Linked DNA regions of Rhinolophus ferrumequinum. The protein of the gene in region 4 interacts with the protein of the main gene of each other region in a pairwise test. Links are inferred from orthologs where the notes say so. Each region holds a gene or a part of one and is shown on either strand. Other genes may lie near its edges.

Region 1 (7,536 bases), on a different chromosome or scaffold from region 4:
CCTGCGGCTGAGGGGGCTTCTGGTAGAGGCCTCCCAGGGTAGTCCGACCATTCACTTCTAACTTCAATACAGTCCTTTCAAAATCTGCAGTTGTAAATTCCCTCCTCTTTTTTTTTTTTTTTTTAGTGCAGAAAAGGAGGGAACAGATACACTGCAGAGGCCAGACGTGGGGGAGGGGCAGTAGGACCACCCAAGATGACCCAACGGGTCCCTGGCAGAAGCACACACTTGCCTGAATGTGGTACACTATGTGCCAGAAACTGGAGTCTGAGCCTCGGTACCGTCTGCCAGGGTAGAGCTGCCACATCAAAGGCAGCGGGCTGGGGGGCAGCTGGCTGGGGCGCATAGCCTCCCCCCGGGGGATGTCTTCCTGACGTAAGAGTACTCGGAGGCCATCTTCTGTCTGAAGAGAAATGAAGACCAGAGCACACCTTCAGGGTTCCCCCAGGAACAAATAACTAGATTCTTCCTGCCACTCGCCTGGCTGGCTGGCATCTGAGATTCTGGGAAGCACTGTTCTAGAAACTCTATTCCTTAAGCCATACGTGCTCTCAGGGACTCTGGCTGGGCCAGGACATCCAGACAGGGCCACAAAGGCCCACTTTTCTGACGAACTTCTAGTAGCTAGGCTGTGCCACGGGGCCCTTGAGCTTCCTTAACTCTGCGGTTTGGTGCCTACTTCAGCTGATGTAGGATTTTCTTTATTTTATCATATATCTTTTTTTAAACAAGATATCCCTGGATCCCAGAATCAGGTGACAGACCACTTTTTGCCATCCCCATCTGGGCTACTTCGATGACTTCCTAACTTGCCGCCTGGTTGGTCCTGTACTCCCCAAGTGTCAGTTCTCGGCACAGCAGCCAGGGTGTGTGGCTAACAATCACGTATGTCACTCCCCTCCCTGTTGGACACGCTCCGATGACTTCCTATCAGAGGCAGAATGAACTGACATCTTTACCATAGCCCACAGCCCCACGTAGCCGGGCCTGTCTCCCTCCTCTCCTACCGTCTGTCCATCACTTTCCATCCTGTACCAGCCACACAGCCTCTGCACTATTTCTGGGACGTGTGACACTCCCAGTAGTCTCTTTCACCTGTTGTTGTCTGCCCGGAACATTCTCCCCTAGGTCTAAGTGGGACTCACACCCTTTTTTTAGGCAGGAATCTACTCAAATGCATGTCTTCTATAAAGACAAATTTCAGCAAAATCCAATTCTAGATATACACAAGAGGCATACCTAAAACAGAGGTTCCAGAAGGTTTCAAATTAAATGGGCAAAAGCATGACAAGCCAATGGAAATTAAGACTCCCTGGGGGTCCTGCCTGAAGACCCGACACCCCACTGGTTTTGTCTCTCATTCCACCTTTGTTCTCCTACACAACTTAACACCGACCTCAATTATCTATGGTCCTTCTCGCCCAGTAGAATGTCACCTTCACAAGTAGTGGGATTTTTATCCCATTCACTGCAAACCCCCACGGCCTAGAATCATTGTTGGAATATAAACTAGGCACTCATGTGTGTTCAACGACTATTTTTCCAAAGTGGAAATAGCCTCTAAAAGTTTTCTGTCCATGAATGAAAGTAGAACTCAGGGTTAAAAAATAATTCAGATCATTCTGCAAGGTGTAGATGTGGAAATCACCATTCTTGTTGTGTTAGTACATAGTCTTCCATATCCTTTAACCATTTTTAGTTTGCTTATTCATCCTTTGCTTGTTGATTTACATGTTAAGAATACGCGTCTTAGTTACGTAAGGTAAATCCTGTCGCACTGTTTGCTAATGCATTAAGTTTTGTGCAGAATTTATAATGATTATGTGAAAAACTCTGCTTTGTGGTTTCAGTCATTTTGAAGAAGATATTCCCCAGCTGGAGATTAAAAAGATTTTCACTTAAATTTGTTTTAAATATTTGACTTAAAAAAGTAAATATTTTACTTGATTTTAAAAAGTATATATATATATACATATATACCAATAAAGATGCAAATTTAGATGGTGGAAACCCAACCCCATTACCTAACTAGCAGTGTTACTTTGGACAAATTTACATTTTTATGCCTCAGTTTCCTCACCTGTAAAATGGGGACACAGTCACTACTCAATAACTTTTTGCTATTTGCTATTACATAAAGTTCTAATATTACATATTTTAACTTTGGTTTTATACTTTCTTACTTCGGTTTACATATGGAAAGTTTCTGCATTTTCCACCTAATTTTCTTTGAGGCAACCCATGCTATGATGGAAAGTACTTAAAGAGAAATAGATTTCTTTTTAAAAAAAGTTATCATTAACTTAAGTTCCACCTTAAGTCATCACACATAAAACAAAGTCAACATTTATTTAATACTGGCTTTTATACTACTATATTATTTATATAAGTTTGTGAAGTCTGTTTACCCCAAACTCTAGGGCGGTGGTTCACAAACTTGGTGATCACATCTATTGAGGGTCCTTTTAAAATACCGATTTCTGGGGCGCACCTAAGGAGACTGATAATCGGATGCACGTATTAATTATTTTAGAGAGATATTATTCCCATTTTATGGCTTAGGACCCTGAAACCCAGAAAATTCCTCTTTTACTCAAGATCACATTCACACACTCCCGAGGCACTGGGTCCCCATTCTTTGGCCAACATATCTTTTTCCCACACTCCTTCCTGGCCTGGAGAACTACTTCTCCTTAGAGACCAGCTCAAAATGGTTTCATCTGTGAGCCCCGAGCAGATCAGGCCTTCTGAGCCTCCCTGCCGCTGCACCTGAGGGGCTCCTGGAAGCCGTGCACAGCCTGGGACGTCTTTGGCACCCAAGGGCTGGCCAGGGATGGTGACACCCATGCTGCCCTGCCCTGCCCAGCCCAGCCCCGGAGTGGCTGTACCTTGATGGAGATGGGCAGCCAAGTGCGCTGGTTCTCGTCTACATAGACGGCCTTTCGCCATATCCACAGGTGGTCGGGATGCAAGGCCGTCTGCACGCTGAACGGGAGCTCGCCCATGACCCTCCGGCGCTCTAAAGCAAGAGCCAGAGCCTCCGAAGGCCTCTCGCTTGTTGATGGGACGCAGGACCTAGACGCTTTATAGCGGGATGGCGCGGGCGCCCCCAAGCGGCAGGGCGGGAGGAGAATGGGAAGCAAGGCAGGCGGGGCCCAGGGCAGGATAAGGCAGCTGCGCAGGGCAGGATGGGCCAGGCCCAGGGCGTGGTGGAGCGACCCACAGCATCCGGAGCTGCGCCTGCGCCAAGTCCTGAATTGTGCCCTGGATCCTGGCGGTGTCTGAGCGCACAGACCCGGGAATCCTTGGAGGCCAGCCGGCCTTGCCCTCTGTCCCCAACTCTCCACTGATGCGGAGGTACCCTGGTCTGTAGCCTTGGCCCTGTCTTCTGTCCTGAAGCGCTGGCGCCCTCCTCTAGGACCCCACTGTCCCATCACCCACGGTGTGTGGCTCTTCGAGCCACACCCCATTCCGTGACTCACAGCCCACACCAGGCAACCCAGAGCCAGCGCCCACTCCATGTCTGCTGGGATCCGAAGGGACCCTTGCAAGCCGGAACAGGGCCTGGACTCCCCCAGGTCATGTCATCACCTCCAGCCTGTGGCTTTGGGTGTCACAATCAATTTCCTCCGCGAAGTGCGACTTTTGAAGCCCTGCTCCCACTTCTACACAAAAGCCATGCATTTTCCACAGCTTTGATGCTGCTGTGCGCATCTAATAGCTATTGTGAAACATGGTGGTGAAGAAACAGGGCTTTTCTCTTTATAGGCTTTGAATTCATTACTGAAAATGTTCGAAATCAATACTTGAAAAGAAACCCTTCCCTCCACTCCAAGACTCCGATGGATATGAAAAAATCCCTGGCTTATATGACCAAACTGTCTCTCTGTAAATTACAGCAAATAAGGAAAACAATTTTACTGCATTTTGCCATAACACGTGTCCGTCAAAGCGATTAAGAAAATAAAGTGCAAAATAGAAATGTGTAAAACGCACTCCAGCCTCAGTGCTCCAAAATCACCACTGGTAGCAGTTTGGTGCCTCATCCTAGCTCTTTCCTGTCCCTCTGACTAGGCACCTAGAAAATAAGTTGTGGTCTTCTTAAATGTCATGAAAGTGAGGTGACTATCTGATCCCCAGGCAGCAAAGATATGTATCTACTTCTCTGCCTATCCAGACAGCCCAAGAAGGGGCAGTGGTGGCCGCCAGTAATAGAGGTATAATTGGATTTACCAGGAATGTAAAATGGAAGACAAAAACCAAGTAAAACTGGGAGCCGAGGGAGGAGACGCCAGCCCAGCAAAGCTTTTTCCCAGTGCAGCCCCTAGTGGTGTTAGTACTTAATAGTATTCAAATTTGTGGCTTTCAGGCTGATTTCCCTGGGGGTTGTTTTTACTTCCAGATCCAGATAGCCCCTGGCAGCCGAGACTATGTGGTAATACGCTCTGTGGGGGAGTCTCAGCCTCCTCCTGAGCTTTGAGGTTGAAAATGGTAAACGAGTTCAGTTTAAACAATACTGCTAGTGTGGCCTCTTGTGGCAAGGGAACGGGCACCCAGGAGCCATGTGGCCACTGACGCAGCCACATCCATGGCTCCGGGACCCGGAATGCCACCGGGTCTGTCGATTTCATTAGCAGTTGTTCTGCTTTCCTAAGACGCCACAAAGGAACACATAATGGGACAAGAATCAGACCCATTTGGCTGGCTACACTTCTTTTCTGAATGTTTTGGGAATTTGATCCCCGTCTTTGAAAGAACAATGTACTTCTTCAGTTTCACACGAGGGCTTCTTACTATTGCGTAAGAGAACGCGTCATTATTGGGAAGGATTTAGAAAATCGTTTGAGAAGGGGTTCCAGAAAATGAAAAGTGAAAGAAGGCTGATGAGGAGCCTTCTCTATGGCATTTCATGAGAGGGGAAACAACGTCTGTCGTGTGGTCTCAGAGACAGGGAGCCTTTCCAGCATGTTCTCAGCCCCATCTTAGGGCTCTACAGCCCGTCAGTCTCACTTTAGCGTTCTGTATTCCTTCCAACGCTTTGTTTATTAGTCTGCCAGCTCCCTGAGAATAATCAAGTGGATGTTTCATGCAGAAAGTAACGCAAAGCAATTATTTTGACTTTTTTTTTTTTTAAGAATTCTTAATTGATGCTGTTGTGTCCTGACTTGGATCCACTTTGGACTTTGACCTGTGAAATTTGCCATCCTTTGCCATCTCATTGCCACACTTTTGTAATGAATGGGCCAAGCTAGGTGTTCTCTAAGCCCATGTCTAACTAACAGACCCTGAACCTCTGATAGAGTTGCCTAGTGGGAGGAGGGAACGGTTAACAGAAGATAAGATTTAATTCGCGACCTTATGTGGGGACAGAGCCAGGAGTGCAGTTTCCAGGCTCTCGGCCTCACGTGGAAAGGTGCTGGCTCAGGTAGTAAATGGCCATCAACTGTGATTGGATGGCCATCAGCTGTGGCTAGTTGGCCGTCAGCTGTAACCAGTGAGCCATTGGCCACTAATATAACTGCTGTTGCTACGCTAGCAGAAAAATGAGGGCCTAGCAAGAAGATGGTGGCTGAGCTAGCAAGCGCAGATTGCAGTTAGCACGGCGCATTGCAGCTAGCAAGTGAGGTGGATTGGCAGGGAGAAGTGGACGGCAGTTTGCGGATAGTGTGGCTCCTGCTTCCTGTGTTTCCAACCCAGCTGCCAGCGAGACTCTAGTGATATGACTCCCCTATCTATGGCTCCGTGGGTGTTCCTTTTTGGCCTCACCATGTCCTGTGTTCTTATACGGGAAGTGGGACCAGAGACCCCGCATGACATCCCACATGACACCTTAGTTCAGGAAAGCCTATAGTTTTGAGCACAGTGGTTCTGGATATCAAGGATTCCAGTGGAATTCATTTTTCCTGAGTGAGGAAGCCATCCTTCTTGTCGGGTTCCAAAGAAGGTCCTTGAGGGTGAGTCATGGCCAGCAGTAGGAACCAGAGCCTTGCTTCCTGAAGGCTGGCCCCCGGACCACCTACGTTAGCATCACTTAAAGTTCATGAGAATTGCAGGATATCGAGCCCTCCCCAGACCTACTGAGTCAGAATCGGCACTGTAACAAGATCCCCCAGTGCTTCATGGGCACGTTACAGAGGCAGGACCAGGAGGGAGAGATGATAGGTGTCGGCCTCCTTCCACCAGTCCCTCTAGATTTCTCTGTGACCCAAGAGCTGAATATGTGTCTCTGTATCATTTAGTTCTAGGTTATCTTATGTTCTGTTACAATTGCTGCTAATATATCAAGTGTTTTCCTCTTTAGAGAAAATCCTGGTAACCATCACCCATGATTACAGCAAGCTGTAATGGGCCTGTAAAGGCATCCAGGCCTGTGGGCCCTGCAATGGCCCCAAATCATTAAGCTAGTGGAGCGCAGCCCTGACTGCTAAATAGAATCACCTAGGAAGCTTTTGTGAAACAACTGTGCTTGGACCCCACCCCATACCCATGAGGCCAGAATTCCTGAGATGCAGGCTTGGGTACAACTTTTCTTTTTTTAGGGTCTCCTCTGCTAATTTAAAGTGCAGCCAGTCTGACAATCACGTCTCTATGATTTGAATTACTGTTTTTGAGGTGGGAACAAGATTTATAAAACTAAATAACTGTGAAAATGTTAAAGCTATTCTTTCTACCGTCAATTCTCACTGTATACCTCACCCCAAACCTGCACTTTACTTCTTTCCCTGTGCCCTACTTTTAGTTTCCTGCTTCCCGTTTTGTGTGTGCAGGGGACCATAGCACCAAGATGATTAGAATTGTAAGGGTCTGAGATCTCACCAACAGGTAAAACGTAGAAACTCTGATATGTAGATATCAAGGCGTCCATGCTGGTCACCTGGAATGGTTTTTAAATTATTCCTAAGTCTGGGTCATATTTTAGATAATTAGGGCGGATGATCAAGTGAAGTCAGGGTAAAAAGGAAGTTATAGCTTTTATCCAAAAGGATGAAATTTAACCTCTCGATTAATGGAGAAGCTGGGACAAGGATATTCTACGTAAAACTTGGACCGAGCTTGGCTTTACCCACAGGTGGCTACTATTGCTCTCTTTAAACTTAACAGAGTTTTAAGTTTTAAGCGCTTCTCAAACTTTAAGGTGTGGGTGGAGATCTTGTCAAAATGCATTTTCTAATTCGGAGGGTGGGGTTGAGATACCACATTTCCAACAAGCTCGAGGTGAGGCTGATGATCTGGGAGCCCCCTCTGAGTCCCAAGACCTGATATTAACCCAGTACACACACAGCGCACAAACGCAAAAGCCAATGCCCCCAGACCCCCTACTCAAAACGCACCAAAGGGGGTGACCCGACAAGCTGGTAGAGTCAGCAGCATGTAGTAAACTTGCAATGGACAATTGGAGCTGGAAATGTGGCTCCCATGGCGCAGACACACACTAATGTTCCCCTACATTTGTATCAGATGCGTTTCTCAAACCTAGGATTATTTCACACTTTGGGGATTATACCCACAGCATTACTGGGGCTGCCTCTCAGCTTG
Region 2 (6,977 bases), on a different chromosome or scaffold from region 4:
CAAGGACAGACACCGGCCACTAAAGGACGCAGGAAGAATACTGAAACTGAACCTGGGTCTGCCACCATCGGGCCAGCTCCAAATGCGTGTACACTGCCTTCACTCTGATTCATGGCGCTTTGTTACAGGGGTCATCTTCCAGTACAGATCTCAGCAAGATAGTCCTTTATTTCCCCCCTTCAAGCCTGTCAGAGGTTCCCCTCTGCTCTCAGGATGGAGTTAAGGTCCTTGGTCAGGTGATGAAAAGCTGCCTTCCAGCCTCCTCCGTGACCCCACAGAACCACCGACAGGCACTGCCCATTTCACAGCTCTGAGCCTTTGCTCCAGGAGCTCCCTGAGCCTAGCCTGTCTCTCACGATGAGTCATTCTCAGTCCTGAATGCAAATCCGAATCATCTGGAGAAATTAAGGAGCAAAAACAAAAACAAACAATGCCAGGCCCTTGTTTGATAGAATGGTAATGAATTAGAATCTTTGAAAGTAGGCCTGGGTATTGTCTCAGTTCTCCAGGTGATTCTGATTTAAACCAGGCCTGCCACCACTGGAGAGGCACAACTCCCTTCCTGCAGCAGGCCCGTCCCAGTTATGCTGTAACAGTAACAGTCACGCTGTAACTCAGCCCAAGGACAGCTCCCACCCTGCTCCTAGACGGAACACACAGAACCTGACTTCGGGTTTTGCTAGATGAGTGACATTAAATCAGGAAATGTGAAAAACATGTACTGTGCCCAACTCACCTGAGAGCCTTCCTACAAATAACAACTGGTGACTGTCATATTTAAAATGACACGATGCCCCCAATTCCTCATGTTCATTCCCTCACTTACCTCTTAACAGTGGAAGACAATGTACATTTATTGAGCAACTCCGTGCCATACACACTCAGGTCATCTCAATCCTCACAAGAACCGAGACAGGTGTACAACTTATCTCCAACTTACGGATGACGAAACCTGTAAAAAACATCAAGTATTTGCACATTGTTTTATATGGTCCGTACCATGTTAATTTTTTTTTAATTGTCTGTCTTCCCCACAAGACCCTAAGAATGACATTTGTTCCATTCACTGATACACACCTGGCAAACACCTGGCCAGTGCTCACTATTACTGAACAAATGTTTTTTGTTAAATGACTAAACAGCACCCAGGATGCTCTCCTCTCTGCTTGTGAGCTTCATTCTGGTCACTACAGATCACCTTGCTTGTACCCATTGCACCTAAGCTCAGCGCCCCTCAGCTTCTTCCACGAGACCAACCTCATCTCAATTCTAGTTAAAAGGTCATTTAAAAAATTCTAGTTCAAAAACAAACAAACAAAAAGAGAGCATGGTGCCTACTGTGGACTAATCAAGTGAGTTCCAGGCGTCAAGCCATTTGTGAATAAGGAAGGTCAAGAAGATACAGTTCCCAGAAGTAAGGAGTATTGAGAACATTGGGTAAATTTCATGACCATTTTGTGCCTCAATTTCCTCATCTACAAAATGGGGGAAATCCAACATCCTAGGATTAATATGAAAATTAGACGAGATAGTCCTTATGAAGTCCTTAGAAGTGTATGCCTGTTACACTGTAAGCCTGACTGACAATTACGCAGGACTACAATGAAAAGGCTTACATATATTTACCACAGCAGGCATTGTTCTGGAACAGGGGATTAGCAAACTTTTTCTGTAAAAGGCCAGATAGTAAATATTTCAGACTTTGCAGTCCATCAAATCTCTGTATGGACTACCCAACTCCAGGCTCTTATGGAAGAACAACAGCCATAGACAATACATCAATGAATGGGTATGGCTTTGTTCCAATAATTATTTTTTTCAAAGACAGGCAGGCTGGATTCGGCTGCAGGCCAGTGTTTGCTGATTCCTTTCTAGAGCAATGCTTTGTTCAATAGCAATGTAATGCAAGCCACTGACAGAATTTAAAACTGTCTAGTAGCCATGTTAAAAAACAAACAGGTGAAATTAATATTTTATCTAACCCAGTGTATCCGAAATACTGCCATTTTAAGATGCTATCAATATAAACGAATTACTGACATATATTCTTTTTCATACTGATTCTCCAAAATTCGCTGTTTACACTTACTGCAGAACTCAATTCGGACTGGGCACAATTTCAAGTGCTCAACACTTAGGTAGCTAGTGGCTACCATATTGGACAACACAGTTCTAGTGCATATGCGAATATAGATGCTTACATACCTATACCCCTACCTTCTGAATACGTATCAAAAATAGAGTTTACACAGCACCAGCAAGAGTGGGCCATAAATATCCGTGGACCAAATGCACGTTAAAAGCTTGTAAATATTAACTAATACTACAGTATGGGCAAGGTACATACACCTGGCCTAAACCCTAAAGGGGAAAGATCAAAGAAAAATTTCCAAAGGCTGCTAACAAATCAGCTGGAACCTAGATCTGTTTAGGCCTTTAGATCTAAGATCTAGAGAGAAAATTTAAGTTTCCAGCCGTAACACATACACCTCTCCAGTTACACAGGGAGCCCCTCGTCTATGGAGAGAAATGATGCCAAATGTTGGTAGGGGCGTTGCAGTTCCTGAACAGCCACTCAATACTGCGCTGGGGTCCTCTCACGTCAGGATGATCCCTAGCAAAGGTGCAGCGAGTGCGAGGGAGCAGTCTAAGGGCCCGCTCTGGTCCGGGTTCGGGTTCGGGTTCCAATGGGTGTGGTGCGACAAGCAAAGCCGGAGGCAAACCGTCCCCGGGTGAGTCTGGCCCCCAGCCCAGAAGCAGCGGCGGCACGGAGCAATCTGCCCACGCCGCGACCTCCGCTGGAGAGGAGGAGACGAGGGCACGTTCGGGCCTACCCGGCCCAGGTAACACCGAGAGCCTCCCCAAGCAGGGGTGGGTTTCCCCAAGCAACGGTGGACAGAGACCCCAGCCAACCCGCAGTGTGTCTCACCGAGAAGCGCAGGCGACGCCTACGTGCCCTCACTGACCCCCTCGCCCTGAGGGAACTTCCGGTTCCCAGGGCGGGACCACGGCGGCTCAACCAATCCAAGCCCGCAGACCAAAGAACGCAGCCTGGATCCAGCGCGTGCGTGCAGTGGAGATGGCGCCTGCGCAGAGGGTCAGCGCCCGTGGGCCCGCCTCTCCGTGGCTGGGTGGCGGAGGCCGTATAGTCCAGCATCTCGGCATGAGTTGAAAAAAACTAGCCCGGCTAACGTTTTTGGGCAGCAAGATTTGTTGAACTACTCTGTAGCCTATCCTTTTTGCTTCCAGTCAAGACAGTGCTCAGCTAAATGTTGACAAAACTTTGGACAAAAATATGAATTATTTATTTAACGCAGTAATTAATCCAACAGTATTTACTGCACCCCTAGCATGCATCAGTTTGATACGAAAGTAGTAGACATTCATGAAGTAGCCATGTGCATCCCGCGCTAATCATCTATACACATCTTTCCGTGCAAGGGTTCAATAAAACCAAAGTGATGGTAGAACTAGAATATGTGGCAGCCTTCTTTGCTGATCCCCTCCTATAAGGTAACTTGGGGGAAGGTTCAAGGAAGCAGGGCTTTACTCTGGATTGAATGCTGTCAGGAAGCAGGTGATTCTATGATTGAGCAATGTAATAAACCTTACCTAGAAGGAGGGAAGACAGACCAAGGTTACATTTGTAATTAGTAAAAAATAAAAGTAAACAAAACCCAGCAGCGACTCAGTTATAAAAACTGTTGAAATACTGCCGGTCCATCCTGGATATAGCCTAAGAGATTTTAGTTTTAAAAGGCTATTGCAATAAGATTGTTTGAATCACAGAACAGTGCAACACGTATAAATCTATGGAACAGGCTGGGCTCCGTAGGGTGCACGTACGAAGAGACTCTTATTTTTTTTCTCACTACTGCCTTGAAACAACCTCTGTGGGCTCTCTCCCCTGCCCATTGGTTCCTCCAGGGCTGGAGCTTGAGGCTTAAGTAAATCCCACAGCTTTTCCAATGACTCTCAGGTATAAAGAAATAATCTTATTTTTAGGTTGTTAAAAAGTCCATTCTAATCTAATATAAAAAATTCAATTATCCAATTAAAAGCTCCGACCTTTCCTCAGCTCAGGTGTGGTCTGTAACTCTGGGACAGCAAAGGGGAAAGACATGGATCAATTCCTTCACCGACCTTATTGCAACCTTTCCGCACTGCCTCCACTATTTTCTGGTCTCTCTCAGGTGAGGGCAGGAGGAGGAAGGAGCGGTAAAACGTCCTCCCACCAAAGATAGATACGTACCCCCAGAATCTCTGAATATGACCTTATTTGGAAAAAAGGGTCTTTGAAGATATAATTAAGGATCTTGAAGTGAGAGCATCCTGGAATACCCAGGTAGGCCCTAAATCCAATGACAAGTGTCCTTATAAGATACAGAAAAGGAAATAAACACAGACACAGAGGAGAAAGCCACATGAAGATGCAGATGCACATTGGAGTTGTGCAACCACAAACCAAGGAATTCCTGGAGCCACCAGAAGCTGAAAGAGGCAAGGAGGGATTTTCTCCTAGAGCTATGGAGGGATTGTGCTCCTGCCAACCCCTTGAGGTTGGACATCTGGCTCCAGAACTGAAAAAATTAAATTTCTGTTATTTCGTACAATGAATAATGTTGTTACCTGGTATTGGAGTTCTCTGTGTGCTGATGTCCAAATGCTGCCTCTTTTGTCCTTTTGAGATTTTTTTTGGAGACACCCCCCCCACCCCTGTTGCTGGAAGCCCCTTCTCACCTATTCTCAGATGATACACTGTCTGGTTGAACACCAGCTCTTGCTTTTGGTGGCATGTCCCCACCCGGCCTTTTTCTGTTGTGTCACCTCATTGCAGACAGGCCTCTTGGGCAGGGTCCTTCCAAAACAGCCGAAGGCCAGCTGTTTGCTTGATGTGCACTTAGCCGAGGGGAAAACCCCAGCCATTCTGCCCTTCACTAAGCCCTGGAAGCTGAGGCTGCTCCCTCTGCAGCCGCTCTCTGCCCTCACACTGTATTTCCCTGAAAATAAGACCTAGCCGGACCATCGGCTCTAATGCATCTTTTTGCTCCCAAAGACGCATTAGAGCTGATGGTCCGGCTAGGTCTTCTTTTCGGGAAAACACGGTAGGTAGCCGTAGGCAGCCCCAGCTGGCTTCTCACCTGTTGAGTTTTTCGGAAGAGTTGAGCACCGTTTCTTGTGCCCTTTCACGACAGGAGAACCTGCCAGTCTCTCCAAGTGGTTCTCTCAAAGTCCCCTCCACTTGCCTGGAAGGCAGGAGCAAGCTTCCAGAATTGGAACAGCCCTCTTTCACTCTTGCCTTCTCTTTTACATAAGCTGAAGAGGGGTGAGGGGCCATAGATGGCAGAAGTAGTTTGGGCTCTCCACTTAGCCTTGTGTAAGTGGTCTGGCATGTCTCTAGGATCAGTGGGTACTTAACAGTGTGCTCAGTTTTGGGGCCTTGGGCGAAACTCCAAGTCAGGAAGAGTCCCATTTAACATTCTCTTGTACCTGTAGTCATCTTTAGGCCATGTCCATACCTCTTGTTCGCCTTTCCCACACCATGAGTCCATTTTTGTTGTTTCTCTAGAATGTGCATTATTCTACCATAGATTTATGGCAGCAGATTAGCAGAGAAACGAAGGACCAGGAAGTCTGGCTTTAATCAATTCTTGGTGCAGATCATAGAATGGAAATTCAGAGGCAATGAGACAATATTTATACTACTTGGTTTCTGGGGATGCTTCAAAATTCCATTTAATCAGGAAAATATAGAAAAGGTACAAAAAGAAATAGGATGAAAGGACGCCAATTCTATTCAAAAACCTCTGCCTGCCTACTCAATTGCCGTTTGCACTGCTGTGAAGAAATCTGAGCTGAAGCCTACCCCTGGGATTTCATTGTCAGAGTGGCTTGTTACCAGAAGGAATAGTCTGCCAGTGATCCTGATATGTGGACTGCTCCAAGAAATACCTCACTTCATTTTGGTTCTCAGGTTTTTCTTTTAAAGGGAGGTCGTTTTGTAACAGCAGTTCATCAGAGTGGCAAGACATAAGCATTGAACTAAAAATCATTGGCCTGTGCTGCTTCTTTGTCTTTTCTTCTTGCATCATGTAGCTTCAAGGCTCATTCTCATGGATTGACACTGTACACACCATGCACAGCCCTCCTTTCATGATATAACCTGGGCATGCTGCCAGAAGGGACCATTCATCAACAACGACAATAATAAAGGATAACCATGTTCACTCCAGGTCTTCTAAGTCTTCAGGGGGAGACACATTTGGCCAGAAGTGTACCATTCTGATTTACGGTGCCCAAGAGAAGCATTTTTCCATTTCAGCCTCATTTCCTCCCCATAACGACCTAACACATTATACTTGCTGTATCATTGACTCATATAATAGTTTTTATTAGTTGTTCTTCATTTCAAACCTGATGCAAACACCACCTAGTTTTCTAGCTGCTGGAGAGAATGAAGGCATCGACTCCTTTGTCATAAGAGTAAATCATTTAGATTGGTATGTTGGCTGGGACAATGACAAGTACTCAATCCCAGCTTTTATGTGATGGGGTCCACGTGGTGGACATCGGTGGGTTTGGGCCAATAGCTTTCAGCCCACTTCCTGCACAGCCAATCAGGTGCCCCAATTTGCCCTAGCCAGGGGGGCAGCCACATGACCCAAGCTGAGCCAATTGCACAACCCTCCCCAGAATAGGTATTTTGAGCAGAGTAATGTGGACAGTAACATGGTGACAGGTCATTCTGGCAATGGTGGCATGCTGATCAGCAATGGCTTCCCCCATAGCTCTGCTTCTAGCCCTGCAGTCCATTTCTAAGGCTGGATCACTGGTCTTCCACCTGCCTGCACACTCCTGCTTCTTTGCTGTATCCTCCCTTTGCTGTAAGTCAGCTGAGATCTGTTTCTGTTGCTTGCTACCAGCAAAGACTGACAACAGCCCCTGTCTTAATGTAGCTGTGAGATTTGAGAGCCATC
Region 3 (7,109 bases), on a different chromosome or scaffold from region 4:
AAGTCTTCAAGGACCACCCACCTACAATAAACACTCAACTCCTTACTTGGTCAAATAAGGCCCTGAACGAGCAGGCCCTGCTGACCTCGCCAACCTACTCTCTTCCCCTCTCCCTTTCTTCCCCTCACTCTTTCCCAGTCTTGTTGGTTTTCTTTCAGATCCTTAATCATACAAAGCTTTTCCTATCTCACGGCCTCTGCATATGCTGTTCCCTCTGCCTGGAATGTTTTTCCCACCCCTACTCTTCAAATGGCTACTTTTTTTCATTTATCAGACATTGACCTAAATGTTAACTCATTTAAATAGGTTCCCTCCTACTTCTTTTAAAAATCATAGTAACCTGTTAATTTCTTTTCCAAAATTTCCCATCTTATGTTCATTGTTCATTTTTCTTTATTATGTAGCCTCCCCACCAGACTGGAAGCTCTGCAATGATGAGAGCTATGTTTGCTTCATTCACCACTGAAGAGTCAGTGACTAGCTCAATATTTAATTTTAATAAATGCTCAATATTTGATTTTGAAAAAGAGAGAGAGAGAGACCCCATTAGGAAACTCAGTGAAATTTTAACTGTGGAAATTTTAACTGCTATACCTGTGTCATCATCAACCATGTAACAAAGCCTATGAACTGATATCTCCAGCTGAGGCTAGGTTCAAGGAACATGCCTCAGTGCCCAGTATGGGCAGTCTTGCAAGGGGTAGGGGGGCTTTGGCAAACGGAAGAGGCCTACTATGACAGTTGGTTCTCTAATCAATCTTGTGTGATGGCTATGGTATCTGAGTTTACTACATTTTATAGATGACAAAGTTGAGCCAAATTAACCTTTAAAAATCAAGGTGCAGACCCAAGCCAGCTTGGCTCCCGCACTCTCTTTCCTGCCTTTTCAGTGCTTTTTTCCCCACCCCAGTATCCTCTGGTTATCAGGCAATAAGGAGCAGATTGTCCAGGTTTGCTTTTGGGTCCTTCAAGTGTAGTGGTCACAAACAGTGTCAAATTGATAAGACTTAACTTCCTTTTTTGGGGGGAGGGAGGTGTAGGATTCTGTCCCTTTGAAACTAATCTCTCTGAAAGTAATTAAGTTTCTAATACAAATTTGCAGTTTGATAAGGCATTATGGAAGTATACTGCAACTATAGAAATAACTGACTCCTCTACCACAGCAATCCAAAATAGAATTTAATCTTTGGGCAGGTTGTTCAAATGACAGTCTCACTGGCAGTAGTTATTATTATTACTAATTTATACAAACTGTTATTTAGATACGACACACATTCTCTCATTTGGTTCTCATAATATCCCAGTGAGGCAAGAAAGAGAGACAATTATTATAGTTCTTTTACAGATACAGAAACAGAGATTGAAGGAAATTACATCTTAATGTCATCTAGCAAATAGCAGAGAATGGGTCATATAATCAGGACTCCAAATACTCCATTCAAATTTTTTTCCTCCATCACTTTGTCTCCTTTCTTGGCTACTAAAGTTGTGTTGAAGGAAAACTTTATCATGAATGAAACTGGCCCTTAGACTCACTCTGGTTCATGTTCAGGGTCTGAATAAGCCTTACTCTGGATAACCTCTAATAATTTACATCTGTTGGTGAAATGCTGACCATAAAAGGTGTTGCTACAGATTTTCTGATTAACGGTTTTAGTATAGTTTAAAGAGATTAGAATTCCAAAATATCTACTGATTTCTATTAGCCCTGTAGACCATAATGTTTTGTATCTGAGAGGCTTGGGCAAATAGTATTAAGAATCTTTAACTGGAGATTTATAGCTGCAGGTAGATAGTTAAAATTCAATGTTTCTATATTTTAAGGGAATAGCACAGATGGCAGTCTTGGCCCTCTACCTGGTGGACAGGTGTTCAGGACACACATGACACTGAAAAGTATCAGTGAAAAGGCTGTCTCAAGCCAACCTGAAAAGGCATTTAGGAAATACTGGGTCTTCAGTAATTTGCTTCTCTGGATGCTTAACTACTATATCTGTGTCTGATGTATCCACTGAACATTTGATGGTTTTAAATATCGCCTCTTATGTATCGAGTTAAGATGCACTAATAACCAAGATCTTAAGGTGACAACAAAACACACTTCTGACAGTACAGTTGATTCGCCTGAGTTTTATAGATTATCCTCTATGGGGGTAGATCAGTCTTCCCCGAGTCAAAAATTAAAGGGAATATCTACTTCTGATAGATGCTGGAGAATAAGGACTAAGGTTCTGTACTTTGCACTCTAGTCTAAACAGAGTGAAGTAAACGCTAAGAAATTTTTACAACAGTCTCTTTGGTGAAAATTAGAAGACTTTTCAACGCCTCGCCCGGTTTTGAGGGGTTTTCATGGGGCCAGAAAGAAGGTGCTGTGCCAGGATAACCGGATAGGGAGGATCTGGGCAGGGCGCCGCGTTTCCCAGCACGTCGCTCAGCCCAGCGGGGAGGTCGACCGGCCTGCACCCAGCCAGCGCCCAACCCTAGCCCACGTCCCGCCCCTACATTACCAGCGCCCGCGCCGGCCGCACCGCCTCCTCCCGCTCTTCCTGTTTCTCCTCCTCCAAGGCCGCTGCCGCCAGAGCCTCTAACGGGTCTTCGCGTTGGTACTGGGCCACCCGCACCCAGGTGTTGGGATTTACCGGGGTTTGGAGACTGGAAGACTCCAGCTCCGCCGCTGGGTGCGAGGCGGCCATCAGCTCGCCGCCGAGGCCTGAGCGCCCGCGCCGAGCCGGGGCTGGGAAGCTGGCGCGGCCTCTAGCTACCTGGCGACTCCCTGCTTGGAGTGGGCGGTTACTAGGGGCACGGTAACTAGGGACGCTACAAGGGCCGCGAGGGGCCAAAAGTTACTGAAAATCCTCGCACGCTGCAGGAGTTTCAAGGCGGGCGCTTCCTGGATGATGGGAGTTAGAACTGAGTCTCTGCTGGTTTATTGGAGGGTTGGCAGGCAGAACAGGGCATCGCTTCCCCAGCTTCGCGCCTCACCGCCTAAACGCAGACTTCTCACATTATACTAATAAAACAACTCGTTTTGTAAATAAAGAAAACAGCGCCTTTTCATTCATTGAACTAACATGTTAAAAGAAGACGGCGGCGTTAGAGGAAAGCAGGGGATATTATTGTGTGGGGTCTCAGAACAGTGGCAAGGTTTGCATCCTGCTACCTAACATGGCTTCCCTAACATGGAGTCAGAGAATGGAAAAGAGTGCGGTATTTTACTTTGATTGACTTGAGAGCTACCAGAAATCGACCAATCCAAAGAAGGCTGCGAGGTACGCGATTTTTCTTGGTCTGACCAATAAAAGCCCAGAGTTGGGTGGGGCCTAGCCCACCCACCAGTGAGTGACAATGTAGGTGTTCGCTGCTTGGTTTAAATAACTTTATAGTGGTGGTGGAGGTCGCGAGCTCCCAACAGTAACCAGAGACACACCACATCTCCATCTCATCCCATTAACATTTCCCACTGGAGATTTGGGCGCTTCAAACGGCACCTCCCTTCTAAGCCACGTGGCTGTTAAGAGAGGCCTAGCCTGAAAATAGCAGACATGGTGCAGCCTCAGCCACCTGCTACCTAAGCCCCCACTTCCTGAGGCTGAGGCTGTTGTAACTTTCCCTCTCTGTTCTCCAGCCTCCTCCTGCCTCCAGCTCCATAACCGGCCATGGACCATCACCACCATAAAGTTAGTGTGCAGCATGTGCTGTCTAGAACTCAACTCTGAGATCTGAGCCCTTCTTACCAAGCCTTTCTTGTTCACAGGTCTGGTGTGTGAGCACCTGCAAAATCCCCCCCACTCCCCCACCTCCTTAAGCTGCCCTTGGTTTGAGCTGAAGTGTGCTTCTCACACTGAACAAATACTGGCTCAATTCGGAGCAGAAGCCAGAGTTGAAAGCACATGAGGTATGGATGCCCCAAGTGACCATAGTGGGGACTTCCAGTCATTCACATGCAGCTGGTTCTGTGGCTGCATGTGCCTGTCTTGGGATTTGGTATAAGCCCGACCCCAAAACAGCAAGATGTGTCTACATGTTGAAGCACTACAAAAGACTAGGCAAGGATAGGCAAGAATAGGATTAGATAGGAATAGAATAGAACATGTTGTGTATGTATGTAGAAGAGCTCATAAGTTTCCATTCACCAGCAATATTCTAAATTTATATATACCTAATAACATAGCTTCAAAGCATATAAAGCAGAAGTGGACATGTCATGCAAGGTGGCATGTGGGGTCCCTGGTACCGCTCGCCACATAAGAATGCAGGATATGGTGAGGCCAAAAAGGAGCCATAGATAGTGGAGTCATACCACTATATTCTCGCTGGCAGCTGGGTTGGAGACACAGGAAACAGGATCCACACGATCTGCAACCTTCCGTCCACTTCTCTGCTAACCAACCAACCCCCCCTTGCTAACTGCAATCCGTGCTTACTAGCTCTGCCACTGTCTTCTTGCTATCCCCCATTTGCTGCTAGTGTAGGCACAGCAGTTATATTAGTGGCCAGTGGTTCACTGGGTACAGCTAACAGCCAACTAGCCACAGCTGATGGCCATCCAATCACAGTTGATGGCCATTTACTACCTGAGCCAGCACCTTTCCACGTAAGGCCGAAAGCCTGGGAATTGCACTCCTAGCTGTCCCTACAGGACAGAACTACAAGAAGAAAATGACATCTTAAATCATCATAAGAAGAATTGTTTTTGCACTTTTTTGTTTTCATTTTTATTGGGGAATATTGGGGAACAGTGTTTTTCCAGGACCTATCAGCTGCAAGTCAAGTTGTTGTTTTCAATCTAGTTGGGGAGGGCGCAGCTCACTGGCCCATGTGGGAATTAAACCGCTGACCTTGGTGTTATGAGCCCTGCACTCTAACCAACTTGTTTTTGCACTTTTGTATTGAGATGTAACACAGTGAAATGAGTATGAGTAGATCTTAAATGTATAGTTGGATAAAATTTGACAAATGCATACACTCATGAAATCATACCCTTAAAATACAAACATTTCTATTATCCCAGAAAGATCCTTTATGCCCTTTTGCCATCTATTCCCCATTCCATCCCCTTGACTGTTCTAGGACTTCATATAAATGGAACCATACAATATGTATTCTTTTTGCTCCCAGCTTCTTTTGCTCAGCATACTGTTTGTTTGTTTTTTGTAAGATTCATCCATGTTGAATATATCCATGAGTAGTCTGTTCCTTTTTAATTGCTGAGTAGTATTCTTTGCTGAAAGAGAGAATAGTTTTCCAACACTGGAAAAATTTTCCTTTTTTTTTTTTGGTCCTGCTCATAATGTGACAGTTACAGACAGGCATACTCTTAATATGCAGTATTTACATTGTTTTTATCACTTTCTTAAGTTTATCCATTCACCAGTTGATGGTCCTTTGGGTTGTTGAAGGAGAAGTGTAAGAGATTTATTGGGGGAAATTTCTGTGAAAGAAAAAGGGAGTAGGAAAGTCTTCAGGCCAAGATATAGTCTGATACTTTAGAAAGCGAAGAGGTGGGGGAGAATAATCCAACCTAATAACAAAAAAAAAAAAAAAGAAAGAGGGGGGGGGAGGAAGTACAGACATACTCAAAGAAAGTAGAAGGAAATAAGCACAGAAATTAGATAAATGGAAGAAATTAAAGAAATGTGCAATAAAGAAGATTTGAGCCCTTCTTCCCAAGCCTTTGTTTGCTGGTTTGTAGTGTGAGCAGTGGGGAAGCATCTCCCCCACTCCTCCAATAGAGCAAAATGAAGCTAAAATTCATTCTTTGAAAAAGACTAATATAAGCAGAAAAATCATAGAATTATCTCAACAAATACAGAAAATGTATTTGATAAAAATTGACATTCATACATGATTAAAACAAAAACTTAACTAGGAATAAAAGGAAATTTCCTTAACCTGATAAAGGACATCTAACAATAAACAAAAATAAAATTTAAACAAAATAGCAAACATCTTAACAGTAAAAAAATGGGCAAAACGAAGATGCCCACTATATTAGTTATCTACTGCTATGTAATGTACTACCCTAAAACAATACACATTACTCCACATAGTTTCTGAGAGTCAGAAATTTAGGGGAGTTTAGTTGAATTGTTCAGGATCAGGGTATCTCACAAGGTTGAGTCAAGCCATTGGTTAGGGCTATGATCTTCTCAAGGCTCAACTGAGAATGGAGAATCCACTTCCAAGCTAATGAGCTTCGTTAGTCAACATGTGGTTGTTGACAGACCTCACTCAGTTCCTAGGTAACTATTGGCCAAAGTCCTCTCCATAGATCTTCTCACACCGTAGCAGCTTGTTCCTCTTAGAGCAAATGATTCAGGAGAGAGGGAAAGCCAGAGTGTCCAAGACAGAAGGCAGTGTTTTATAATTTAATCTTTAAAGTCACATACTGTCACTTCTGCTTTATGCTATTGATCATATGCTGTCACCAAATCCTGGTACAATGTGGGACAGGGACTACTAAGAGTGTGATACAAGGAGGCAGGAATTATTTGGTGCTACCTGGGAGGTTGACCACCACACTCACTGGTCATTTCTATTCTGCATTGTACTCTAGGTGCTAGCCAGAAAGAAAGGAAAGGGGCGGGGGGAAGGTATAAGGATTGGAGAGGGAGAAAAAACTCTCAAATGTTCACAGATTGCTTGTGTAGATCTCCCCAAAAAATAGAGGTAAATTATTAGAGTAATAGAGTTTAACAAGGTTTTTGGATACAAAATCAATTCACAAAACCAATCCCATTTCTTTTTGTGCTTTATTTTGGATAGTTTCTAAGGTCCTCTCTTCAAGTTTGCTGTCTTTTTCTTTGGTAATGTCTAACCTGATATGAATCCTACTCAGAGTACTTTTCTAAATGATAATGAAATTTTCATTTTTAGATATTTCATTTGGGTCTCTTTTATATCTTCCACTTCTCTCATCATGTTCATATTTTCTTTTACATCCTTGAGCACTTATGGAAGATTTATAAAAGCTGTTTTAAGGTCTGATAATTCATTTGTCATTTTTAGGTTTGTTTCTCTTGGTTTTCTCTATTATTGGTCATAGTTTCCTGCTTCTTTGCATGACCAATAACTTTTTTCTAATTTGTTTCTTTTGTGATAAAGTACAC
Region 4 (6,826 bases):
GATGAGCTTCACCCTGAAGCCTTCCAGGGTGCTCCAGCACTCGTCCTCATTCTCGTAGTCCGACATGGCGGCAGGAGCGGCTGCAGTCTGGGGCAGCAGCTGGGAGGCACACCCGCTCGCTGAGCGGTCAGTCCCAGCCAGGACCCAGGCCTGCCATCACGATGCCAGCCAGGGCTCTGGGCAGAGCCTGACAAGGCACCTGTCCCCGTGTGCAGCCTCAGCCCACACCCTCCCATCTTGGCGACCAACAGAGGGAGGCGGCAATGGTACAGTGACCTTGTTCCCCCCAGCCTTTCCTGGGCTCTGCTCCCACACCCCCTCACCCCCTGGCCCTCTTGGGCTTTCTCCCCGAGTCACTGGGTGAGTGTGGGGGCACAGTGTGGAGATGCTCCACGGACGGGTGCTAAGAAAACACTGTCCTCCGTGCATGGCCGTCCTTGTGCCTCTGCCTACTCCTGGACACCCCAAATGCCACAGAGCTGGAGCTGGCAGGGAGGGCTGCCTCCCAGCCACGAGGTTGTGGGCAGGAGGAGCTGTTTGTGCCAGGTGCTGCCTGCTGGCACAACCTCCCTGGCAGGTGTGGGGAGGGACGCTCCAGCCCCTGGCCAGCCAGTGCCCAGTCTGTGGTCAGAAAGCACGTTGACAAGTGACCCTCCCACCTGCACACCGCCCTGTGCTCTGCCAGACTTCCTCATTCCCCGACTCAGCACCCACTCATGTCCCAGTCCTGTCCCCTCCTTTCCTTCCGGTGGCCAGCCGGTGATGCAACAGTCACCCAGCAGCTTTTCCAGGGCTGGCTGCTCCGAGTCTGGCTCAGTGACACTGCCGGGGAGGGTGACCGTGGACGCCTACGGAGCACAGGCCCAGCCACACTGGGAGGGGCGGTGGTGTCTCCCAGGGCCGGCCGATGTGCTGCCTCAGTGCCTGCTCCAGGTGCTCGGGTCCTGGGCTCCTCTCCTGCCTCCCAGACTCCGAGTCCACACACTCTAGACCACACGCTCTAGACCACACGCTCGGGGACTACCTATGCTAGGACCACCCACTGCTGTTCCCTTCTACCAGCAGGCGGCAAACCGCTCTCTCCAGGGCCGGGCCAAAGCCGGGAGCAGCCATGTGGTGGTTGCACCCCTCTGGGGGGTGGGGACGGAAATCCTGGCCCGGCCACCTCAGACAGAGCCTTCAGTCCCCAGGAACTAGACTGCGCTCCCAGAGGTACAGGTGGCAGCAGGCCTGGTCCTTGAGGCATTTCTCTCTTACGCTGCACCTGGCCACCCCACCCGGCCCAGCAACAGCCAACGTATTGAAGGAAAACAACAACTCGGTGGATGGTCCTTGGGACCTTCGGCCGTTCCCTGCCTTTCTAGCCTAAAACACGCAGGTCCCACACCTGCCACCCTGCTGCTGGTGGCACTGAAATGCACCGGCAGGTTCCAGTGGCTGTGAAGGGGACAGAGCAGGAGAGAGGAGGCCACTTGGTGTCCTTGAGATATTTGCTCCAGGACCAGCTCCCTGCCCCAGAAGCGCTGAGCAGAGCCGCAGTGTCTTCCCAGCCTACCTCGGGGTCCTGAGGGGGCACCGTCGCCGCTGGACGCCGGCCAGCCTGGGCCACCCGATTCGGGAGGCAATGGGAGGTGTGCCTGCAGCCGGCCGAGGGAGGGTGAAGCCCGGGCGGGAAGCCTGTGCTTCCTCCTGACTCTTCACTCCAGGGGCCCGGCCACTTCTCCAGCAGAGGAAGGTCCCAGGTGGCTGCGTTCTGATTGGCCAGCCAGGGCCCCGGAAGGCGGGGCAGACAGAAGTGGAAGTTGATGACATTCAGAGGAAAGCTGCTGGGAGCAGCCCGGCCCTGGCACCCCACAAAGTGCAAGTTTGAGCAAAGGGTCTCCCTGGGGCTGGACGAGGCTGACCCACCATCAGGTCTGCCTTGGTCCAGACGCAGGCTTCTGGAGGCTTCTCCAGCAGGGGGTGCTCTGTGCCTAACACCTTGACCTCCAGCAGCCTCGTGGGGACGAGCAAGGCCGGCACGGGACAGGCATACATACGGGGTGTAGGTGGGGAGACCTCAGCTGGGGACTTGAGGGCATCAGCCCTGACTCTGGCCCCCAGCTGAGCGCCCCCACACAGCCAGGCCAGGCAGGCTTTGGTCACCTAGGGACTGCAGTGTGGTGCCCAAAGGGGCTGGGGCTGGGGAGGCCGCTGCAGGCTGCACGCGGCCCCGGGCCTGCCTGCCTGCCCCACACTGCAGCTCGCTCAGCCTCACCCCTTCCTGGGAGCATCTCCACTCTGCAGCCCCTGTCCACCAGCGCTGATGGGACAGTGGCGGCAGCCTCCCAGGACCCCGATGCACTCCCCATGGCCCATCACGCGTTTCCGAAGGGTGTTGAGCACAGAGTGAAGCTCAGGCCCTGGCCACGGCACCAGTCCTCCGTGGGCCGTCGGAATCCCCAAGCTACCGCCTCACTGGGGCAGCCAGACGGGTTGAACCGAGTTGTCACCTGCCGGGCTAAGATGACAGCTACTGGAAGGGGCTGTGGCTGGAAGGGCAGGACTGGCAGGATGAGCGTCTGACTGGTGTTCCTGGCCCACCTTCCCATGGCACCACACCTCAGCCTCTGTTCCTCTGCCTCCTGGCCCGACAGGCACTTGCTGTTTGGCCGAAACCTTGGGAATCCTGACACGACCAGGTGCTGCTGCGTGGCGGTGGCAACGTGACGGACTGGCCCTCTCAGAGGACAGCAGCGGCCCGACATCACCCTGGAGGAGTGGGTGACCAGGGGTCCTCCCAGGCCCTCAACGGAGCAGCCCCCAGGCTGGGCCCGCCACAGGAGTGGGTACGTTGCAGGTCCACTGTGACCTGACATGCCGGCCTGTGCTAGGCCCTCCACTACCCACTTTCCCCACTTGGTCAAACAAGACTAACAAAGGGGCACGAAGTAACAATATGCTGTGTTCTCAGTGCATCAGGGTTATGCTACAGATCAGGAATAAAGCTCCCGGGACAGGCCCTGCATACTCGGAAATTAAATACACGCTGGTCAGGGACCCACAAATCAGAGAAAGTCACAAGGAGAACAAAATGGGTGGGGAGCACTGCGCACAAAGCACGCGTGTGCACACACAGGCAACCGAGTGACGAGTGGCCCATGGGAGGTGTGACACGTGGTGTCTGGTGGGAGGGAAGGGAGACAGGTGCCTCGTGGGAGGCTGGGGGCCAGGACACACGCTGAGCACCTCAGAGGCTGTAAACCGAACCCCCGCCAGTGTTCTTGGCCGAGGGATGGAGACTGTGCTGGGGCTCAGTCTCACGCTGAAGAAACGCCTGCACAAGAGGAAGAGCGCCTGGGCAGCCTGTGTGGTCCGGACGGCAGAAGTGGGTCCCCCTCGTCCCTGCGGTGGCACCCAGATGGCTGGCAGCCACGAGCGGTTGTCGTAAGGCGGCCGCTGCCTCCTCCCCCATGCCCTGCGGAGGCCCAATCCCTCTGCATGTCGTCTCATAGCTCAGGACAGACCACAAGACTCTGTGGCTTGCTTTTTAATTAAAAAATAGGACATTTACTTAATTCCTTCAAATATTCCAATTTGCACTTGGGACCAGGTGAGCCTGTGACAACGCCGTCACTGTGGGCAGAGCCTACCCGGCCCCTGGCCGCTTTCTCCTTCACGGTGAGCGGTGGGATCCCGGGCCGGGTGGCCCCGCCCCATCGCAGCAGCTGTGGGCATCCAGGCCGGGCAGCCCTGGAACACAAGGACACCTGGGTGGAGGGCTGTCCTGACCCCGCCAGACCCCCGAATGGCCCTGTGGAGGAGCAGGAACCAGAGTGGCACTGCGCCCTGTGGGAGAGGACAGGTCATGGAGCACGGGGCGGGGGGGGGGCTGCAAGTGTAATGTCCCCTTTGGAGCCCCGCCCCCTCCTAGTCCACAGTCCGAGGAGCCGGCTCCCGCCTCGGGGGACCTGCCGGCCATGGCCTCCTCCCTCCCTCGTCTGTTTCATGAACTCCGCCTGTGTGTGCTGAGCACCTACTCAGTGCCTGCTGTCTGGGCTCATGTTCCAGGCAGACAGTGGACAGGCCGTGGCCAGGCAGTCACGGAGTAGCAAGTGCATCAGGACAGACATTGGGATGGCCACGCCGCCTGAGGACGGTGGTCAGGGAAGGTGTGTCTGAGGAGCTGACCACTGAGCAGAGGCCAGGATGGAGGGAGGGGACAGCAGGAAGGAAGTGCCAGGAGACATGTGGCAGTTGAAGATTAGCCTCCTGACCCTGGACCCACCCTAACCCCACAGAGCCAGGCACACAGGTGGCCTAGCCCCCGTGCCCCGGGCAGAGCTGACGTCAGGGCCCCGTCCCTTCCTGGTGCCAGGCACCAGCTTCCCACACTCACCCTGCTGCTCACACTAGCTTCCTCCGCTTCCGGGTGTGTCGAGCACGCCGGGTCCTGAGCACATCAAAGTCGTCATAATCGTTTGGGCAAGAGGGGGCAGAGCCCTCGCCAGGGTCTGGGGCTCCCTGAAACAAAACCCAGGTGGGGGGACAAGAGTGACCCTCCAGCTGGGATGGGCAGCAGCAAGGAGCCAAGGGGCCTGTGGATGCCGTGTCCCCAACACCTGGGACAGGCAGCTCCTCAGGCTTATGCTTGCAAAGAGCAGTTCCCAGGCAAACGGCAGTGCCAGCAGCAGCAGGTGACCCCAACACACGCACGGGCTATGGCAGGCAAGGACCGGGAGGGATGCTGGGGCCACCTGTGGGCTCTGGCTTTCTGCTGACCTCACTCCCCCCTGGGGTCTCCAAACCCCTCTCCATAGCCGAGAGCCAGCATCATGTGTCATGGTCCCCCTGGCTGGGCCAGCAGGGCAGTGACCTGGTGGCGATGGAGGCTGCACATACAATGGGGGACAGGGAGGCTCTTCCCTGTGACGTATGGAGTCCAACAATGTCTTCCACTGCACGTCAGCCCAGAAGACAGCCCTGGGAGCCCTAGGCAAGGCCCCAGGGGATGGAGGTGACGTTCCCAGCAGGCCAGGGTGGACTGAGCCTGCAGGAAAGGTGGCACAGGCCCCAGCACCGCCCTGCCTCCTGTGTGGCCATGGCCGCCCCAGGTGGGGAAGTGGGGGGACTGCTTGTGGAGGTGATCTCTGGGGGGGGGGCATCGCATGCTCCCCACACAGCTGCAAGGGCTCTGGACAGCCTCGCTGACATGGCACAAAGTGCCCAAGGCGGTCCAGCTCTCCTACTCAGCCTGGTTAGGACAGAGGCGCCTTCCTGGGGACTCCTGGGCACACACAGCCACAGAAGATGTGGGACACCTTCCTGCGTGTGTTTTTATCAGGTTTCTGGTTGGGAAATCGGGATGAGGATGCCGCCTCCGCAGCTTAGAAAGCCTCCTGACGGGGACGGTGCCAGAGCTGACACCTGGAGGGATGTGGCATCCACAGAAGAGCGTGTGCAGGGCTGCCTTCTACATGGCTTCCAGCCCCTGCATGTGAGGGGCGTGTGTGTGGGGGAAGCCTGGCGCCTAGGCCACTTTCTCCCTGACAAGCCTCATGGCTGGCAGCCCCAAGAGCAGCTGGGGATCTCCCCATGTTAGAAGTGAGGTTCCTTTCCCCCAATTCCCACACTGGCCAAAAGGGGTGGCGACGGCTGCACCACCTACACGCCACCGGGCAGGCTGGGAGCCAGCTTCCTCCTCCCCAGAAACCCACCAGCTGTCTCTCCTGGCCACGACTTCCACTTGCTCTGTCCCCAGCCCCCACGCCGCGCACTCTGGGCAGGCCACACACTGCAGGTAGGCAAGGGTGTCCTGTGGGGAGCAGGGAAGTGGGGTGAAGGCTGTGTACCTACGGCCACCTACCTGAGCAGGGCTTGTGGCCGCCGACCCTTCCTGGGGACTGCCGCTCGCCCAGCAGCCTGGCTGCCTGTGGCCACCAGAGAGCTCCAGCTGCCCCACACCGTCGTCTTCACTCTCGCTGTCCTCACTCTCGGGGTCTGCCCTCATGGCTGCTGACAGGGTGGTGGGGACACCGTGAGGGGACAAGGTGGCCAGGAGTGCGGGGAGGGTGAAGGTCGCCAGGAAGCGCGTCTTCAGCAGCAGGTAGGCTGGGCTGTGCTGCAGCGGTCCCAGGGAGGCCTGCGCGGCTCCCGCTGCCCCACCTGCCCCACCGGGCACCACCAGGGCGGCGGCTCTTCGCTCCAGTGCTTTCTTGTGGAGGAGGAGGCCGGACAGTGCGCGCAGGCTGCACAGGGAGGGGGGCTGGTAGGGGAGCCTGCTCCTCAGGGGGGGCACACACACCCCCCGCTGTCCCCTCAGCCACTCCCGCACAGCCACCTCACTCTCCTGGGAAAGGAGACCTAGGTCCAGGGCACCCTTCTCAGGCCCAAGCCGGGGTGGCGGTTGCCTCTGCAAGTCTGGAGGCCCCCTGGTCTCCCCTGGCACTGAAGGGGACCCCGGTGTCCCTCCCGGGCCATCACCACCATGTAGAGGCTGCTGGTTGGGCCGTGCTGCAGGGTGGTCAGCCAGGAGTGCAGCCTGGGAGGCTGTCTCCCCAGCCACTTGGGCCTCTCCAGGGGAAGAGTGTCCCCCAGGGGCACGGACCCCGTCACTGTCCACTTTTACAGGGCTCTGGGATGGCAGGGGTGTCGAAGGGGTCACGAGGTCTGTCCTGGAGCGAGGCTCTGAGTCTGTGCCCATGTTGACCAGGCCCTGGCCTGCCTGAGTCTCAGTCAGGGAGGGTGACAGAGTCACCAACAGCCCTTTGGGGTCAGGGGTCGCTGCCGGCTTGGAAAGGCCCACCATGGCTGGCATGGGCACGGACAGCAGCCCTTGGGCTGTAAG

Evidence for each region.
Region 1: the proteins of CARD9 (region 4) and TCL1A interact in binary tests that used the Homo sapiens proteins (3 or more experiments, as listed by UniProt). The two-hybrid records come from large-scale screens. The link is inferred for Rhinolophus ferrumequinum from reciprocal best matches to the Homo sapiens genes CARD9 and TCL1A.
Region 2: the proteins of CARD9 (region 4) and TCEANC interact in binary tests that used the Homo sapiens proteins (3 or more experiments, as listed by UniProt). The two-hybrid records come from large-scale screens. The link is inferred for Rhinolophus ferrumequinum from reciprocal best matches to the Homo sapiens genes CARD9 and TCEANC.
Region 3: the proteins of CARD9 (region 4) and FAM161A interact in binary tests that used the Homo sapiens proteins (3 or more experiments, as listed by UniProt). The two-hybrid records come from large-scale screens. The link is inferred for Rhinolophus ferrumequinum from reciprocal best matches to the Homo sapiens genes CARD9 and FAM161A.

The regions. Positions count from the first base shown.
Region 1 is NC_046289.1:7,766,662-7,774,197, reverse strand, and holds the start of TCL1A (T-cell leukemia/lymphoma protein 1A), read right to left. Parts: upstream 3,006-7,536; coding exon 2,889-3,005; intron 404-2,888; coding exon 233-403; intron 1-232. UniProt on the Homo sapiens protein: Enhances the phosphorylation and activation of AKT1, AKT2 and AKT3. Promotes nuclear translocation of AKT1. Enhances cell proliferation, stabilizes mitochondrial membrane potential and promotes cell survival.
Region 2 is NC_046284.1:116,519,773-116,526,749, forward strand, and holds the start of TCEANC (transcription elongation factor A N-terminal and central domain-containing protein), read right to left. Parts: upstream 3,018-6,977; 5' UTR 2,930-3,017; intron 2,913-2,929; exon of another isoform or gene 2,488-2,912; intron 953-2,487; 5' UTR 876-952; coding exon 827-875; intron 1-826.
Region 3 is NC_046296.1:27,370,340-27,377,448, reverse strand, and holds the start of FAM161A (protein FAM161A), read right to left. Parts: upstream 3,011-7,109; 5' UTR 2,694-3,010; coding exon 2,508-2,693; intron 1-2,507. UniProt on the Homo sapiens protein: Involved in ciliogenesis.
Region 4 is NC_046295.1:82,446,476-82,453,301, reverse strand, and holds the start of CARD9 (caspase recruitment domain-containing protein 9), read right to left. Parts: upstream 3,001-6,826; 5' UTR 1,556-3,000; intron 151-1,555; exon of another isoform or gene 120-150; 5' UTR 67-119; coding exon 1-66. UniProt on the Homo sapiens protein: Adapter protein that plays a key role in innate immune response against fungi by forming signaling complexes downstream of C-type lectin receptors.